2 linked regions of the Macaca mulatta genome follow. The protein of the gene in region 1 purifies or fractionates together with the protein of each later gene. This does not show direct contact. Links are inferred from orthologs where the notes say so. Each region holds a gene or a part of one and is shown on either strand. Other genes may lie near its edges.

Evidence for each region. The genes of interacting proteins can lie anywhere in the genome.
Region 2: the proteins of DIS3L (region 1) and EXOSC7 purify together in Homo sapiens (affinity purification with mass spectrometry; 3 studies listed by BioGRID and IntAct, counting the BioPlex papers as one, with this or other methods). This does not show direct contact. The link is inferred for Macaca mulatta from reciprocal best matches to the Homo sapiens genes DIS3L and EXOSC7.

Annotation. Positions count from the first base shown.
Region 1 is NC_133412.1:43,767,198-43,773,157, forward strand, and holds the start of DIS3L (DIS3-like exonuclease 1), read left to right. Parts: upstream 1-2,095; 5' UTR 2,096-2,148; coding exon 2,149-2,287; intron 2,288-2,370; exon of another isoform or gene 2,371-2,646; coding exon of another isoform or gene 2,647-2,734; intron 2,735-3,528; coding exon 3,529-3,682; intron 3,683-5,960. UniProt on the Homo sapiens protein: Catalytic component of the RNA exosome complex which has 3'->5' exoribonuclease activity and participates in a multitude of cellular RNA processing and degradation events.
Region 2 is NC_133407.1:108,316,502-108,322,208, reverse strand, and holds the start of EXOSC7 (exosome complex component RRP42), read right to left. Parts: upstream 3,456-5,707; 5' UTR 3,252-3,455; coding exon 3,006-3,251; intron 2,554-3,005; exon of another isoform or gene 2,312-2,553; intron 2,254-2,311; exon of another isoform or gene 2,220-2,253; coding exon of another isoform or gene 2,163-2,219; intron 1-2,162. UniProt on the Homo sapiens protein: Non-catalytic component of the RNA exosome complex which has 3'->5' exoribonuclease activity and participates in a multitude of cellular RNA processing and degradation events.

The DNA of each region.
Region 1 (5,960 bases):
GCCAAAATGCAAGCAAAGGAAGCGCTTAATGGACCTCGAATTATTTAAAATACTAATAAAGCCAACTTTCAATAGAACCTCAGACATACTCTCTTCCTTAAAAGATCATTTGTCCCAATTTGAAGAAAGTTTAAAGCTACCAAGTGCTAAAGAGCGATCTTATGGGCATATTAGTATCTAATCAACACCCTCCCATAACCTGGTGTAATCAGAAATAAAAGAAAAATGAACATGGGGGAGCTTTGGAGGGAACTGTGGGCAGCTGCCTGGAACATACTTATGTAGGGACAAATCTGGCAACTTGACTGTCCTCTGGGCTCTCTAGAACTGGCCTCCTGAGTTAGGGACAGCCTCCTGCACTGATGGTTGCCTTACAGGCCAGCTCTGTGCTGTTTTTGTAATTCGTGCAATTCCACCTCAGATCTCATTCACATCAGCTCACACTGCAGGATAACTTGACGTGGAAGTACAATGGGTGGGAGATGGTGGCTCTCTTTAATGCATTCCCCTAGAGTGACAAGAGCCATCCAACAAAGCATCCTCAGTTCTGCCTGCTTCAGCATCACAGGAAATCTGATGTTTCCAGCCAGCTGGTTGAGCTGCCTTAACTAGAGCTCACCAAGCAGACTATAAAGTCCCTAAATGCAGGACCTGTATTTTACTCATCTGTGAATAGCACGGTAATTACTTACAAGCCTGCTTTGAATTCAGTCAGATTCTGGCTTGAATATTGATCCCACCACTTAATAACTGGGTAACCTTGGCCACTTAACTTCCCTAACCCTGCTTTATAGTTTATAAGATAGGAATGATAATTCCCCATTCCTTTGACTTGTGGAAATTAAATGGGACACGTATACAAAGCTGCTAGTGCAGCTCAAAAGTCTTAGTTGAGTGCTTGGAAGAACAGTGGATTCTATCCAAACAAGGGTATGTGATCTCAGAAGAGACCGTGTGTATCTCTTTATCAAGACGTACAGGCTGGGCGTAGTGGCTCACGCCTGTAATCCCAGCACTTTGGGAGGCTGAGGTAGGAGGATCACTTGAGCCCAGGAGTTTGAGACCAGCCTGGGTAACATAGTGAGACACTCCCATTTCTACCAAAAAAAAAAAAAAAAAGAAGAAAAGAAAAGAAAAAAAAAAGCTAGGCGTGGTGAAGATCGCTTGTGCCCAGGAGTTCGGGGACTGCAGTGAGCCGAGCCGTGATCATATATTACACTCCAGCCTGAGTGACAGAGCAAGACCCTGTCCAAAAAAAAAAAAAAAAAAAAAGCTATTAATACAAACATGTATACGTTTGTGATTGTGTCACAGTGGCAGTTTAAAGGAGAAATCCTTTGCCAGAGGTTGCAAAAGCTATAAAAGTTAGAGTGGAACAGTGCTTCAAGGGAAGAGATTGGTTTTCATTTTATCTGCATTGTTTGAATATATAAGTACATGATAACTTCAATAGGGATACCAAAACAAATAAATAAATTTTAAAAAGAACATGAAAGGCCAGGCGCAGCAGCTCACACCTATAATCCCAACACTTTGGGAGGCCGAAGCAGGTGGATCGCTTGAGACCAGCCTGGCCAACAGAGCAAGACCCGCCCCCCTCACCCCCCTATAGAGATAGACAAAAAAAGAAAAAAACTTTTTAAAAAGTACATGTAATTTAAAATGAATACAACTTTTTAGAAATGTTGGGCTGGCAGGGTTGCCGGCTTATTTGGTGAGTCTTTCACCTCGTTTGGAGATAGCGAGAGCAACGAAGAGAAAACATTAATTACCAGGTATTGGTATTAATACGGCGGCTCCATTCCCACATGGACCTGGGGGGACAAAAACTCCTAATCTTGGACAGCTGCGCCCAGCCCTTCTTCACCTGCGGTCCAGGTATCATCCTAGTCTTCCCTCCGTCTCTGGGGTGGGTCGTTTCCAACCCTCCGCCCTGGTCCAGGCCACTGAGGGAAGGGAACAAAACTAAGGCCGGGAGGGCCGGGCCCCAGCCTGGAGTGTGTGGCTCCGGGCCTCCCCCGGGTGCGGCAGTTACGGCGGTTCCGGAGCCGCGGCGCCCAGGGCCGAGGGGCGGGCCCGAAGCCGCGGCCTCGCCTCCGCCGCGCCGGCCGCTCCCGCCGCTCCGCGGCCTCCCGGAGACACGCCGCCATGCTGCAGAAGCGGGAGAAGGTGCTGCTGCTGAGGACCTTCCAGGGCCGCACGCTGCGGATCGTGCGCGAGCACTACCTGCGGCCCTGCGTGCCCTGCCACAGCCCGCTCTGCCCGCAGCCAGCCACCTGCAGCCACGGTCAGGGCCGGGGCGGGGACGGGGCCGGCGGGAGCGGGCGGGACTGGGCGGCTGCGGTGACGGGGTGAGCGCGGCCCAGAGGCGGAGCGCCAGCGGCGGGGACACCGAGGCGTAGGCCCCGCGGCCTGCGCCCGCCCGCCGGCCTCACACCCAGCCCTCTGCCGGTCGGGACCCAGCGGCCCAAGTCCGCGGCTTCCGGGGTGCCCCGCCCGGGACTCCCCGACTGCTCCGCTCTGTCCAGTGGGAGAGCCCGAGAGACCCGCACCCCATCCCGGAGACCGGGTGGCTTGGCTCCTCAGAGGGGCCCAAGGGCGCGGAAGCCGAGCGTTCCTCCCGCCGCAACCTCGCGCGGCGGAGAAATGGGGAGGTCCCGAGCCGGGAGCCCCCGGGAGCTGCGGGCCAGCTGCTGCCGCTGCGAAGCTGACATCATCTGCTTTGCAGCCACAGGTTTCCTGACCTACCCGCACTGGTGCCCCAGACTTTCCCGCCCGTGGAGAGCCTCTTCACCGTAGTTTTGTGAACTATCTGGGCCCGCACTGGAGAGGAAAGTCACGGGGAGGTTGGACTGGGGACTCCTGGGCCCCTGTCCTTGGTTTCTAGGCTGCAAGGGTGGCCGATAGAACGATGCGCGCGTTACTGGCTCTCTTCCCCCATGGGAGGATGAGCATGGGATGGGGGTCCTTGTCAGCGAATGTTTGGAATCCTCCAGACATTGTGATTAAGATGAACATTTCAGTTAGAGCTTGGCTAACCGGCTCTCAGATACGGGCCTGGTGGAAACCCCACCTCTGCCCGTTGCTTGCACGGATCATTTTCTCCATTCAATCTTTCTGGCTCTTGGAGGCTGCTGAGCACGTGCAGAAGCTTGACACAGAGCCAACTTGAAATTGCTGGGCATCATACACAAGTGGTATAAATGTGGGGGTGCTTCATTTGAATGTGTTTGTCAATGATGAGGTAACACTGAAATATTCAGGTTATGCTGAAAATGTGCTTGTTCGTTGTTAAATCAGTCATCCTCTCCGGCACCTCTGGCAACACCATAAACCACGTTGAGCTTGTATTTATTACAGCTTCAAAAAAAATTAGGGTGCTCAATATACCTGAACTTTGGGTCTTTTAAAAACTCCCACCGTGGAGTTAAGACTGGAAGTTATTTTGTATGCCAGAGCACCGTGACATTTAAATAAACCAGGTTTGAAAACATTGTCTAATCTCTTACATTTTGAATTATGTTCCAGATGGGAAACTCTTGTCTAGTGATGTGACTCATTACGTGATCCCAGACTGGAAAGTTGTTCAAGATTATCTTGAGATCCTTGAGTTTCCTGAATTGAAAGGAATTATTTTCATGCAAACAGCTTGTCAAGCAGTGCAGCATCAAAGAGGCCGGAGGTATACGTTTTGCATTCTTTATTTCTATATGGCATAGGTTCCCCCCCACCTTAGAAAAGCTCCCTTGTTGGAGGAGGATGGGAGGAATTCATTATTTTGTCAGAAAGGACTTTTTAAACTAATTTTGTATTCTCTTTGATAGTGAGGAATGCAGTAACATTATTTTATATTTCTGCTGCAACACCTGGCCAAGAGATCTGACTGTAGATCAATAAACTGCAGTGTCCCCAGTATGTGGGTATTTAAGATTCTAGTGTGAATTGGCTTTTGGCTTGCATTTTTATAGTGGTAGGGTTACTGCTTATTTCTTGTTGATAATGTGTATTATTTAATCTTATTTATAGATACATTGTTTCAGAAGCATACATTCTTTTCTTGGGGAAAAGAGTACTTTATTTTTAAATTTTAGACTCCTTTATTGGAGATGCAAATTGTAATGATTTATTCAGTAAAACCAGAAATAGCTTGTTTTATTTTTAGATTACTAGTGTAACTACCAGCCATAGTCATTGTATTTGCTAAACAAAGCATTTCCAATTGAACCAGTCTAAAATTCTTGCCTTGTACTTAAATGAAGAATAGTTGTCTACTTTTTAAACAAATACCTTAAAAAACGATTTCGCTTCCTTTAATGTTGAGAAAGGTTTATGACTTGAACTTAAGACTGTATGGAAATAGCATATTAGAATTATATGTCCAACCTCTTAACACTCTAAGTTATTTAATAAGCACAAACTATGCATTTATTCTTTTTTAAAATGTTGTGGTTTCTTCAGGCCTTGGTAATAAAAGATGAAGTGTTTTTATTTGTATATGAAAATGACAAATTGTCCTCTTATTATACACTCAGTTCAAAAAATGTACATTAACCAGATTGTGTGCAGGTTTTTTTCAGACAGAATATTTTTAAATGAGCTTCAAGTTGATTTTGTTCAGACACCAAGATATAGATGTTTATACAGATCCAAATTTAAATGCTGCTCCAGGTGTCATATTTCAATTTCTGCTACTAAAATCAATTTGTTGTTATCATTCGGATTGCTAACACACTGCGAGCCTTTTCAACTTCTGTTTTCTAAAATATTTTTAATGTTAAGGATTGTTTTAGAAACCAATTTCTGGGACATTCAAAGACAAAGAGTTGGAATTTAAACGTCTTTTCTCCTGAACATTTCAAGAGTAGTTAACTTGATGAAAAACTATTGGTTTTCCACTGCCTTACCATGTCTTTGAATATACTAAATGTGAAAACAAAAGATGAGGATTTATGAAATAGGGCTATATGATAATACCCTGATTTTGTTTGTTGGGTAAGCACTTTTTAAGCTCTTAGTTCCAGGCCTTGGGGAATAAAAAAGTTGTTTTTTGTTTTGTTTTGTTTTGTTTTCTTGAGATGGAGTCTAGTTCTGTCGCCTGAGTTGGAGCACAGTGGCATGATTTTGGCTCACTGCAACCTCCACCTCCTGGGTTCAGTGATTCTTCTGCCTCAGCCTCCTGAGTAGCTGGGATTACAGGCACCCGCCACCACGCCCGACTAATTTTTGCATTTTTTGGAGAGATGGGGTTTCACCATGTTGGTCAGACTTGTCTGGAACTCCTGACCTCGTGATCTGTCCACCTCGGCCTCCCAAAGTGCTGGGATTACAGGCATGAGCCACTGCGCCCGTCCCAAAAGAAGCCTTAGTTCCTCTCATAACAAGCCTATTATCTTGCTGGGGTTAGATGGAAGAAGCAAGACAGTTATTATGAAGCACCTTAGACACACGAAGGATAATTTAATGTGGACGATGCTAAGTGCAGGAGTAAACGTGGGGTAGAGGGATTAGGCCGGAAAATCCTCTGGGGGAAATGGATTTGAGACTGATCTTTAAGGGCATATTACGAGTATGATTGAAGAAGAGGAAGAAATCGGCAAGTTTGGGCCTTGGCACTTTGTTTACCTGTTAAGCAACCAGCAGGTGCGTTCAGGTTGACATAGCTAAATGACCCAAATTGTCCGAGTGCTAGAAAGTGTCTTTTATTGAAGGCTAACATTAAAATTAATAATAGGCATTGAATACATAAGATCCGGGAGACTTTATCATTATTAATAAAGTTTATTAATTCAGCCTTCCTAAGTGTTAAGTGTAAGTTATTTGACTTTTTTAAATTGACAGATTAAAATTATATATATTTGGCCATGCCCAGTGGCTCATACTTATAATCCCAGCACTTTCGGAGGCCAAGACAGGAGGATAACCTGAGCCCAGTTCAAGACTAATCTGTGCAACATAGTGAG
Region 2 (5,707 bases), on another chromosome or scaffold:
AGCTGGTCTCAAACTCCTAGGCTCAAGCGATCCTCCCATCTCAGCCTTCCAAAGTGCTGGGATTAGAGGCGTGAGCCACCATGCCGGGCCCCTGGTATACTTTAACTTCTTCAACCTCCACTAACTATACCACTTCCTTGGCATAGATCTTATTACCTTTGTCTTTATTTTATTCACTTTTACTCTCTGTTTGTCTCCCTCCTATCTTTCATTTATTTCACAACCATGTTTTAGCATCCCTACTGCTTCCCACATAACATGCCAGTGGCTAGATATATGTTGGTAAATAAAATTAATTAACTTTGCCCAAATTAGATCCTAGGCATCTCAAGGATCAGAACTGAGGCTTATAGTCTTTTCTTCCCCCATAGCACCCAGCAGATAACAGGTGTGTTATAAATATAAATGATTTTATTACTCATTATAAAGTAATAAAGGATTTATGACTATGGTGGGACTCTGCTGCTAGATAGCTAATGAACTGCCATGGGAATTAAGGATGCTGGGGAGAAATCTCTAACCTTGAAGTTACAGATATGTCCATGCCTCAGTGCCACTTTCAGAGATGAAATGTGAGAGAAAATACGACACATGACAGAGTCAGTACATCACGCTAAGCTGCGGTAACAAAGAAAGAAAACCAAAGGTTTTTAAATTTAGAGGAAAATGGTTATCCTTAATGTGTGCCTAAAAATCATACTTTGAGGATAAAAATCACCTGAACAAAGTGTATACAAAAACATAGCAGGGAAAGACAGATCTAATTGCTTTTGGGCATTTTTATGACCCCTCACACACAAATAACACATGTTACCAAGTAATACACACATATGTCCCACTATTGCTAATCCTGAATTATAACTAAAATATGCAACTGTGAGTTCTGACTTTATTATCCAGGCTTAATAAGCTAAATACTGGCATTTCTTCATATATAAAGGGCCCGGAAGATAACAGTAGGTCACGATTTTTATAAATGGAAATGTCCTTAACTCACGTTGTGGAACTTTAATGATAGCTGGTTGCTTCAATCTGATGGCTATATCACGGGACCACTGATTTTGCAGTTGGTACTGACAGAAGAAAGGCATGAGGAAAAGAGGTAGGGGCTGTCGCCAGAACTCTGCCAAGGATGGGATGAAGAACTCTGATAGGAGGACCACACCGTGGGTTAACAAGTGGAGACAGAGCCAGAGGGGGATACGGGGTAGCTCGTTTCCAGGTCCCACATGTTTCAACCCTCGTTCTCGAGTGGTCAAAACCAGGGGTTTAACATAGAACACAGAGGACATTAGGTTACAGCTGCCTAGGGATCTTAGTTCTCCATTGGCAAAATGGAAACAGCACTTACGCTATCGGCTGCCTAGCCGCTTTTTAAAATTTATTTATTATTATTTTTTGAGACGGAGTCTCACTCTGTCGCCCAGTGGCTGGAGTGCAGTGGCGCGATCTCACTGCAACCTCCGCCTCCCGGGTTCAAGCGATTCTCCTGCCTCAGCCTCCGAAGTAGCTGGGACTACAGGAGCGCGCCACCACGCCCAGCTAATTTTTTTTTTTTTTTTTTTTTTTTTTTTTGTATTTTTAGCAGAGACGGGGTATCACCATGTTGGCCAGGACGGTCTCTTGACCTCGTGATCCGCCCGCCTCGGCCTCCCAAAATGCTGGGATTACAGGCGTCCTAGCCGCTTTTTAAAAACTCTTCCCCCTTTATTTGTACCGCAATTTGTATTTACAAAGTGCGTTCACCTAGCATGCCCCTCCTAACCACGAGGTGAGGAAAAGCAGGCCAGAAGCCCAACTCCAAACTCCCATTTCCTCGAAGATAAAACTGAGGCTCGGACCAGTTATGTGCGCGAATGCCGAATGGATGGCCCCGGGGGCGATGCTCTCTCACTAAGAAAAGGCCTCCGGGACTGCCCAACGCTTCCTGCCCGGGTTCGGAATGTTATAGACCCGCAAAACTGCAAATGCGCTAACAGTCCTAAAAACGTCCGCGTTGCCAGCTCTGAACTGCAAACGCCGGCAGCAGAGCCGTTTAATCACAAGGTAAACGGACAGTCGCCGCAGCTCGGCTGCCTCCTCCCTGGCAAACCCAGGGCAGGCCGCGACCCGCAGGGCCAGGCTGAACCCGGCGGCCGACCCAACGCCGCTGCTGTCGCTACCTGGACGCCGTGCACGATGTACACCTTCTCCGCCTCGCTCAGCGCCACGGACGCCATGCTGCCGAACAGCCCCGCAAGCCGCACGTCATCTGCGCGCGTCGCCTCCTCTGGACCGCACCCCCACGTCCCACCCACCGCGTCAGCGCGTCATCAACCTGTGCGGCGGCCGCTCCTGCAGCCGCGGCCGCCGCCACTGCCGGGAGCTCGATGGGCTTCTCCTGCGCGCCGCCCGGTGTCTGGCCGAGTCCAGAGAGCCGCGGCGCCTCGTTCCAAGGAGCCATCGCCGTAGCCCGAGGCCGGGTCCCGGGTTGGGGACTGCAGGGGAAGGCAGCGGCGGCCGCGGCGGGAGCCCCACCGGGGTCTGGGACTGGGAACTGCCTCCGGCTTCACGGTCAGTTGGGAAGGGAAACCGGAGTTGGGGTGAAGAAGCTGGGGTGAGGCGAGCCACACGGGCCGGGGGACTCCCAGTGGGAGAGGCGTGCGGCGTAGTTACTCAGAGCTGGAGTTGACTTAGGAGCTCGTGTGTGTGTGTGTGTGTGAGAGAGAGAGAGAGAGAGAGAGACCCCGACTAAGGAGGGGCGGACGTCGTGATTGGCCCGGGGGTGCTGTTTCCCCGCTCTTCTCTCCTCCATTTCTCTAGTCCCTAGGATGACTGAAGAGGAGAGGAGAGGCGATGCAGCCCTCTGTAGGTAGCTCTCGGTGGGAAGGGTCCGGGAGTGGGGGACACTAGTCCTAAGGCGTCCCCACCCCTCCACCCAGGAATATCTCTCGCTGGCTCGCTCACTCTCTATGACCAAACGCTGTCCCAGTACCTTGCTGGGACCTCTTGCCTCGGGTGCTTACCAGAGCGTTGTCCCACAGACAGGGGGGAGGAGGCGCTTGGTAACCGGCGCTGCCGAGGTGCGCAGTGCCCGGACGTCCCCGACGCTTCCTAGCGGGAACTGGAAACCCCGGCTTGATGGAAGCTGTGAGCAGTTGCCGGAAAAAAAGCCAACCCCAACCCCTTGCTATGGCCGAGTGGGAGTATGGGTATTGGATACCTGGAGAGGATATCTGCAAGGTGAAGCTGGGGTCACCAAAGGAACTCATTAAGGCGGGGCGGACAAGTATGGTGCAAGTTTTAAAGGCGCCGTGTGGATAAATGGGAAAAAGTTAACCCAAATTAGTTGAAGCAAGGAAGGCAGGTTAAAGCAAGTCTGATGACTTTCCTGATGTTCCATTTTTGAGGACCCTCCCTGTTCTCAAAAGTGAAAGTAACCCTAATCAGCTTGATGAACCAAAAAAAAAAAAAAAAAAAAAGTTGGTATTATCAGATAATGGCTTCAAATACAGTTTCAGTTAACCATTGGGAGCCTACTATAGACAGGCTTTGTGCTACCTCTAGAACACAAGACAAGTAAAACACACTATGCCGGGAGAAGTTCCCTGGGCAGATGAAGGCTCCGGGGCCAACATAACCACAGATCATGGTGATTAGAGCTATGATGGTGGCATCAGTGAGCACAGTGGGATTGGGAGGTCGTCTGATAAGGTTATAGAGAGGAAGTACTTGCTAACATTCTTAAGCATTAAACTGCTGAGCTCCAAAATTGATGATCCGTTCTTCATAGACTGGACATTAGATGTTTCGTATGTCTGTACATAATTCTCTGCAGGGGCACCTAAAAGGAAGACAGTTTGCAGGATTGGACTTTGCCTTCCAGGGAACTGAAAGAGGTGAAGCCGGAAGGATTTCCTCCCTAATGAAGGCACAGGTGCCCCACCTGTTGTGGCACATAAGTGTGTTTGTGTGTGGTTGGACAGCTGGGTTCTGTGTGAGGAGCTGTGTGTGATAAGATAACATGAGATCGCTAATGTTATAAATGACATTTTCTAGATGTGCTAGAGATTGCTCAGAAAGGAGAGACGCTGGAAGTGGGATTTTAGAAGCTAGGATATCTGAGGAGACTAAGGATTTAAGAGGTGACAGCAAATGGACAGATCAGAAAGACACAGGAAGAAAAGCCTGAGTTCAGATACCATGGAGTCATCTTTATATAAAGATTTTCATATAGAACATGTATTTGAACTGCCCACCCCTCACAATTGACAGGAATTCCATACTGGACAAGGGTCTGCAGTATTTGCTAAATAATGTTATGAATGATGTCTTATATATGAGGCTAAGTAGGTAAGAGAGATGTAAACAGTAGAATGTTCCTTTTTAAATTGTCTGCTAAAACAATGACAATCTTCACTAATCATCTGCTTAAATGCTGCCACAACATTTTTATCACCTTTGCTGTAACAGTGCATTGGACATCTTTAAAATCCATAAATTCAGAGTTATTTTTTAGTGTATTGAAGTAATTCAAAGAACATATGATAACCCAAAAAAATCAAGAAGTCAAGGATGACACAGTATTAAACCATCTTGTTTTTCCATCACTATTAGATTCGTTTATTGAATGAATAAATGAATTGGGGCATACTATTCTGTAGGTTTGTGTATTCTAAAACCTTATACTCTAATTTTCAACACTAATTTACATAGTACTTATTGTAAGCCAAGCATTGTTCTAAGCACTTTATAAAGATTAACCAGGCTAGGTGCGGTGGCTCACACCTGTAATCCCAGCATTTTGGGAGGCCGAGGTGGGTGGATCACCTGAGATTGGAAGTTTGAGACCAGCTTGACCAACATGGAGAAACCTTATCTCTACTAAAAATACAAAATTAGCCAGGCATGGTGGTGCATGCCTGTAATCCCAGCTACTCGGGAGCCTGAGGCAGGAGAATCGCCTGAACGCAGGAGGCAGAGGTTTTAGTGAGCCGAGATCACGCCATTGCACTCCAGCCTGGGCAACAAGAGCAAAACCCCGTCTCAAAAAAAAAAAAAAAATTATTCGGTCCTTGCAACATCCTTATGATGCAAGTATTTTTATCCCTATTTTACAGATTGGGAAATGAGGCACAGAGAGGTTAAATGCCTTAACCAGGGTCACAGGTTACATCATTGGTAAATGGCAGAACCAGGACTTGAGACCAGGCAGTCTAGCTCTCCTGCCCACACTCCTAACCATCACCTTACACAACCTCCCCCCAAGTTTTATTACATTCACCAGAGTATTTGGTGAAGGAAGTCCCAATTTTGTTATGGCATTAGTAACTGTCCCATGAACTATATAGTTAATCTTAATTCCAAAAGCAAGAAGTCTGTTCAAGCATAAACTCATATCTCTTGAATCATTTTTCTAGAGGAACGTGGAATGTGGTGCTGATGGGACTTTGCTGTGTCTGTTGCAGCCCAATATTTTAAACAAGGCAAAAGGTTATATATGAGCAGAATAGAGTTTAACTCCAGATAGCTAAGGAGAGAGCCCTCAATGGCAAAGAAGTCTGATAGATCTGATACTAGGGTTGAGTAGCATGCATGGAGACCCAGATTCCAACCGTATGCCATACTCAGGATATCTAGAAACTCTTCAGTCAGTCAGTGTTTGCATGCCTGTGAGTCCCTAGTGTTCTTATGGGCATAAAGAGATAAGAAACTCAAAACACAGCAC